Linked DNA regions of Macaca fascicularis. The protein of the gene in region 1 interacts with the protein of each later gene in a pairwise test. Links are inferred from orthologs where the notes say so. Each region holds a gene or a part of one and is shown on either strand. Other genes may lie near its edges. The genes, in order: LNX2 and PTCD3.

Region 1 (3,825 bases):
AGTTATTATTGACATTCATCACTTTACTCTTCATCACTTGGCACGTGCTCAGTTACAGTGAATTGTTTGAACATTTTATGTATGTAGGCATGATCTAAGGTAATTGCAACCACCCTAATGGTACAGATTATGATACAGATTTCTCATAGCTTGTAATAAGTGCTCAGAAAATACTTGCTGAGTCAATAAAAGAGTGAATTTGAATAGAACATGCTGTTGGGAATAGCCATCTCCTTTATTAGAATGAAAACTTGGTTAGGATTTTTAGTTCTTGAAAAGAAATCTCTAGACTTGGGTCTGGGGGAGGCTACAAAGGCAGCCAGGACTGACCCTACTAGGGATTCTTGGGTTTGGTTTCCACTCCCACTTGTATGCTGCTTTTCATGGTGTATTATTCCTGAAAATAATTAATATCAAGCCCAAAACCCTTCCTTCGTTACCCCTAGCGTGGCTGAGACAGACTGAACTTTCAAACAGTGTTTTTTTTTGTTTTTTTTTTTTTTTACCAAATACTTAGACATAATAGAGGAATACAGGAATATAACTAATCCAGCTTATATAAAATCAGATTCCTGATCCAGTCATAGCTAGCTATTTAGTTATCCTAGCTGCATTTTGTGATATTAGTACTCTAGCTGCACAGGCTGGCACAACTTGTAGGACCCCTTGTATTATTTACGTCCTAGCTCCTGACTTGATTTTGCAGAGAGGGACTCTTATAACTCATTTCCCAGATTCGTCCTCCCAGACGTCTTGACACTTTGGCGGTCAGGACCAGGAAAGGCAGATAGTCCTTTTCTGCAGCCCACTGAGTGCTCTTTGACTCTCCCTCTTCTGGCCTTTTTAGCTGAAATGTAAATGTACACTTATTTTTGTGTTTTGCTACTAGCCCAGTATTGTTACCATATTTATACATTTTTCATTCTCTTTTTTAATTTTCAAAGTAAAAACAAATGTTTTTATTTATATTTCTTTGAATATAACTGAGATTCGTTTAAGTTTTTTTACTAATACATTTCATCAGTGGGCTCGTTTCTATTTTAGAGAATGGTTCATTAACACAACTGAATCTTTAGACCTCAAAAGATTATAATTATCTGAAATTATCAACCATGTTTTTGGGAATTAATTCAGAGTTATAAAGTCTACATTGTAGAAATTCCACTGCATTATTACTGTTTACGGTAACCTGTATACTAATAACTCCACTAATGGCAATCTTACATCTAGTTCAATGATTCAAATTGATAAGAAAGGTCTGAGCACATAACCTGATTAATGCATTCACAAAGGGTCTCTCCTGTTATAGGCCCTGACTTCTGATTGGCTTTTAACTGGTGTGTTGGAGCCAATACATAAAGCCACTCCCCTTTCCCACATGTGGACTAGTTATGGTTATTCAAAAGTAAACACTTGGAAGGAGGCCTCTTTGGTTACCTCCAACTTTGTATAAGCTGAATAAATATAACACAGTGAGCCAGTTTGAAAATTTTGAAGAGGCAGTAAGATGGTTCATTTGCAGACTAGAGAGCTAGCTTGCATTTTCATTTTTGCAGACCATATACATAAGCAGTGTGTATGGCTTTGGTGGTTTTCCCATATTTATATATATTTATTTATATACACAAACATTATTAAATAGCCTCTTTGAAAAGAAGAACCATATGCCCTCAGAGCCTTTTGCTACTCTTAGAGTTTCATATGCAGCCTCTTTGAGCAGTTTTGAAGAAAAAAAATACTGCTATTATAAATTACCTCAATATCATTATTATTAATAAAAGTAATATAACTTAGAACATTATTAAGAATAAGTATTTTCAGTTTAATGAAGTCATCAGTAATGTAGGCATTTTCAGTTCTGAAGGAAAATAATTACAGCTGTTGATTGTATCGATTAAAAAAACACATTTAGCTCAAAAATGAGATAGTTTGCTGGGTTGATGTTATTTTTACGAAATCTAGAAACAATATTTTATTTGCTTTATCTGAATTTCACCGGCAACCATGCATTCCTGGAGGAAAAATATTTTTCCAGTTGTAGAATATTCCCCAGCCTGCTTCACAAAGATGTGATGAGGCTGCATGGTTTACACATGGCTGGATTTTAGTCAGACATTTTGTAAAGTCATTTGTGATATGTGTGATATGTCTGAATGTAAGATAGAAAAATGTGAACCTACAGGTAGGGTAGCTTTTTAGCTAAATAGCTGGAAATGGTGGTTTAGCTAATGTATCTATGTCTGCCTGGATTTTTAGAAGCTGCTTTCTAAATATAATAGAACTTCAGAAGTTCCATTTGACCTTGTATTATTCAATACTTTTACCAAGGACTTGGATGACTACCAAATTCATAGATGTTGCAGACTTGGGAGAAAGCAAGTTTGTGTGTGACATCTGTGCATTTGGTGATTGAATTCTGAAAGATGTTAATAGGTCAAAATCAACAAAATTCAAAATAGTAGTATTTACAACTATCAATCCTAAGTAAATAGGAAGAGGGGAGTCTTGCCTAATGTGGATTTGTGTGAAAAAGATTTAAGAATTTTAGGTGATCATAAGCACCTAACTCAGAGCCTGTCATATAACAGATGGTCAGAGGATGTTGGTTTCATCTCAGATCTATTCAGAGAAGAACTCTAATTGTGATAAATGCTAAGAATCATGCTCATCTCTTGTAACTAAAGAAATAATTGAAGTTAGGTGTATTTTCTAAGTGCTGTTACATATCCAAGGATCAGTCACTATACTTTTTTCAAGGTTATAAAGGTGGATACATAAATGTTATATGAGTATTGAATAATGCATTAGATATACATTCTATTTTACTTTTAATGGTAAAAGCTGTAATGACTTTTGCACCAGCCTAATACTTGTGTGCTGAGGAATTAGAGTGAAATTACAATTAACCTGGTTTTCTTTCAAGTAAAAGTCACTTATCTAAAATAAGGTTGTATACCTGGAATGTGCTACTTTCCTTAAAATAACAATTTATTTTCTCTAGCTTAAGTGTATTTAATTTGGTAAAAGCAAATTTGTAATCTAGTAAAACTTAAATTTGTGTTCCACTAGAATTAGTATTTATTTCATTAGCACTTGCTGCATGTTGATCTGTTCATTCTCATACTGATCCCATGAAGTAAAACATATTTTACAGATGAGAAGACTCATCTAGACAAGTTCTATAATTTGCCTAAGGTTATCAGTTACTAAATGATAGTACCTAGGACTCTAATTCAAGACTGTCATTAAAGCCCGTGATCCTAGCTACTCTTGTCTCCTTGATGCTAATCAATGTAAGTTAATATTAGAAACTCTATTTTTAAATGTCTTTAATGTGGTTTTCTTTGTAAATAATGATTGTATAGCATTCTCACCATACTTAGCACTCTCACAATACTTAGTGTCCCTTGGAAATGTTACATAAACGTTCCTACAAATTGGAAAAATGAAAGGTTGTCACAGTTTTGTCACAATTCTTTTTTTCTAGGTCAACAACTACAATATCAGCAACGTGTCCCATAACTATGCCAGAGCTGTCCTTTCCCAGCCGTGCAACACACTGCATCTTACTGTGCTTCGAGAGAGGCGCTTTGGCAACCGAGCACACAACCATTCTGATAGTAACTCTCCGCGAGAAGAGATTTTCCAAGTGGTTCTTCACAAACGGGACTCTGGTGAACAGCTTGGCATTAAATTGGTGCGAAGGACAGATGAGCCAGGGGTTTTTATTCTTGACCTGCTGGAAGGGGGGTTGGCTGCGCAGGACGGCAGGCTCTGCAGCAATGACCGAGTGCTGGCCATCAATGGGCACGACCTGAAGCATGG
Region 2 (3,825 bases), on another chromosome or scaffold:
CTTGCCTCCTAGATTTATTGTTATTTTCCTCTTCCTGAAATGAATAATCATCAAGAGAAATAAAAGTTAAGGTGATGGAATGCATTTCCCAGACTACTCAAAATCAGAAAGGCAAAGGGAACTCAGAAAAATAAAGAAAACACAGATCCAGCAGATGGCAAAGAGGAAGTCCAATAACGCTTACACCTATACATTTAATTTCTTAAGTGCAAATCAGATGAAAAGCCAAGTTGACCCTCAAAGCAACAAGTGACAGCGTGGAGACAAGATGAAGCCATTTCCCTGTATGGCCTGGTCCTCAGATAGAAAGAGGAAAACCAACCAACACATCCTATTTGCTCAGGGACTACATCTGGCTCGATCCATACAGATAAACTGTCATAATTAGGGTGAAACCAAGATAAACAACATATACTTAATGTCTAACACTCACCCAAGCAAACTAAGACTTCTATTTTTGTTTTTGTTTTTTTCCTGAAACAGTCTCGCTCTGTCACCCAGGATGCAGTGCAGTGGCATGGTCTCGGCTCACTGCAACTTCCACCTCCTGGGTTCAAGCAATTCTCCTGCCTCAGCCTCCTGAGTAGCTGTGACTACAGGCGCCTACCACCATGCCTAGATAATTTTTTGTATTTTTTTTTTAAGTAAAGACGGGGTTTCACCATGTTAGCCAGGATGGTCTTGATCTCCTGACCTCATGATCCACCCACCTTGGCGTCCCAAACTGTTGGGATTACAAGTGTGAGCCACTGCACCCAGCAAGACTTCTTACAAGACTAAATCTTGTCTTTATTTATAAACCAAGGTCTGGGATGAGGCTGACATAGAGCAATACAGGCTTGGTTGGCATTGCAGAGGTCAGTGCTGGCTCTGTAGCCTGCTGCCTCAAGAGGTGGGGCTGGAAAGGTAGAGGGCCAACCAGAGCAGGGCTTCAGGAAGTGATGCTCTGGAAAGTGAAGTGTAACTGCAACCCACTGCCTATGCACTTTTTAAAATGTAAGGTTCTCTACATAAACAATCCACATTTGGCCAGGTGCAGTGGTCAGTAATCCCAAAACTTTGGGAGGCTTGAAGGACTGCTTGAGTCCCAGCGTTGAAGACACCATCCCGGGCAATACAGCAAGACCCTATGTCTACCCGCCCTCCCCACCTAAAAAAAAACTAACCAGGCGTGGTGGCCCACACTTGTGGTCCCAGTTACTTGGGAGAATAAGGAGGAACACTTGAGCCTAGGAGTTAAAGGCTGCAGTAAGCTATGACAGCATCACTGCACTCCACCCTAGGTGACAAGAGTGAGACCCTGTCTCTGGGGGAAAAAAGAAATCCACATTTAGTTGGGCAAAGAGTAGGAAAGATAGAAAAGAAGAAAAACACCAATAATCCCATCACCCAGAAACACTTTTTAAATGATTTTTTTCTTATGCATTTGTAAAAACATTTTTACAAAAATGGAATATATACTGCTGATAGCCTGTTTCCCACTTATTGGATGAATCTTTCCATACCCAAACACATCTACTCTAATGTGCTCAATGGCCACACAACTTTTATCATAATTTGATCATCTACTGTTGGACATCTAGATTGTTTTCAACATTTTTACAAGTATAAACACCTCCTTATGAAAAATGTCACATGAGCATCTCTATTTGACTGATCCAAAGGATTTCTTGAGACCTAGTTCTAGAAGTAAAATTCACGAGTTGAGAGAGAGGCTATGACTCAACTTACAGGCAGCCCCCCGCACACTACTGTTCTGTCTCCAGCCTAGTGTGTTCTCGCCTCTAAGTCCATGTATGAATTTTTGAGGGGGCCCAGGCCATGGAGTCTTTACCTGGCCAGAATACATCATGTTATTACTCTAAGTGACACAGGCCAGCCCAAACATTTCAGATCAACGCTTTGCCTTAATATGAGGTAGGAGAGGACAACATATTGTTAAAAAGTAAACTAGGACAGAAGTAACTGTTTAAAATCTCTCTTCTTCCTGTACCACTTTTTAATCAAGGCTATCGTACCACACATCTCAGTACAAATCTCTTACTACTACCCTGACACATGGCAAAAGAACCCATCTTATTTTTAAAAGCGATTTCTTCAAAAAGAAGCTTAAGAAAAAAAAAAAAAATCAAGACCAACAGTTGTTACCAATTCTTCTGACTGCTCAGTTTGTTGAAAATGATAATCAGTTGAGGGCTCCTGGTCACCATAGTAACACAATAAATCCAAGAGACTATTTGTTGTTTCAAGAGACACAGTGGTTCCTGTGGGTAGAAACAGAAAGGGAAAGAAACCTTGAAACAATGAAGAACTAAAGCCTGTTAGGTGAAAATGCTTCATTTTTTAATATTGGCTGTGGTCTTCACGGCTACATACTTAATGTTGTCCACTACTTTATGCACTCAACGTCAACTTAAACACCTGGAGTGACATAGACAGGGACATAACCCCTGTTAACCATGTAATTTGATGTAAAAGATTGGAACACAAGATGAAGTTTGGGCCTGTGCTCACTTATTTTACGTACTCATTTTTCTCAAGCTAGTTCATGGTTTTAATTATCATCTCCAAACTGAACACACTGCAAACTATTCCCACTTACTTCCCCCAGCCCAGGTCCATTTGAACAAATGCAAGTAGCATTACTCCATTTGGATCCAGATACTCACTAAAAACTTGCTTAGAAACACTAGCTGAATTGTCTAACTATAGTAGTCTCTTAAAAATTGTTCAAAACATTATGTCCCCATCTTGACACTCATTAAAAGCGCTAAAAAGGGAACAGGAGGAAGAGAAGTATGAGATATAATCTGCTATTTTACAAGAAAAGCAAATGTATCTTTTTGTTTGTTTTGAGATAGGGTCTCATTCTGTCGCCCAGGCCGGAGTGCAAGGACATCACAGCTTACTACAACCTTGAACTCCTGGGCTCAAGTGATCTTCCCACCTCAGCGTCCCAAGCAGCTGTGACTACAGGTATGTGCCACTGCGCCTGGCTAATTTTTAAATTTTTTGCAGAGATGAGGTCTCACTATGTTGCCCAGGCTGGTCTTGAACTCCTGGGCTCAAGCAATCCTCCTGTTTTGGCCTCCCAAAGTTCTGGGATTACAGGTGCGAGTCACCATGCCCAGCCAATAAATTTTCTTTCTAAACAAAATACATTGATAAATTTAAAATGAGTATTAGGAAATGTAAAAGTCCAGAAGAGAAAGCAGGGCAGAGCGAAGAGGGTACAGGCTATGGAGAAGCAACTGGTTCACACCATCTCAAAGCTATGAGACCCTGGAAAAATTACCTAATAATTACCTTCATAAGATTACTATAAAACACACCAATGAGGGCCAGGCGTGGTGGCTCACACCTGTAATCCCAGCACTTTGGGAGGCTGAGGCGGGTGGATCACCTGAGGTCGGGAGTTTGAGACCAGCCTGATCAATGTGGGGAAACCCCATCTCTACTAAAAATACAAAAAATTAGCCAGGCATGGTGGTGCATGCCTGTAATCCCAGCTACTTGGGAGACTAAGGCAGGAGAATTGCTTGAACCCAGGAGGCAGAGGTTGCAGTGAACCCAGATCGCGCCACTGCACTCCAGCCCGGGCAACAAGAGCAAAACTCGTCTCAAAAAAGACAAAACAAAAAAATAAAAAACACACCAATGAATAAGGTATTGTAGAATTAAGTATGTGAAATGACTAGCACAGTGTTTTGCACTTATTAGGGGCCTGATAATGAAATGTTCTAGGATCCTTTCCCTGGTATACTTAGTTACTGAGCTATGGGTCTGACACCTGTCTTTACTGAAGGACTGCACACACCTACCCAA

The links.
Region 2: the proteins of LNX2 (region 1) and PTCD3 interact in binary tests that used the Homo sapiens proteins (3 or more experiments, as listed by UniProt). The link is inferred for Macaca fascicularis from reciprocal best matches to the Homo sapiens genes LNX2 and PTCD3.

The regions. Positions count from the first base shown.
Region 1 is NC_088391.1:7,541,366-7,545,190, reverse strand, and holds part of LNX2 (ligand of Numb protein X 2), read left to right. Parts: intron 1-3,487; coding exon 3,488-3,825.
Region 2 is NC_088387.1:35,456,358-35,460,182, forward strand, and holds part of PTCD3 (small ribosomal subunit protein mS39), read right to left. Parts: intron 2,265-3,825; coding exon 2,149-2,264; intron 35-2,148; coding exon 1-34. UniProt on the Homo sapiens protein: Mitochondrial RNA-binding protein that has a role in mitochondrial translation.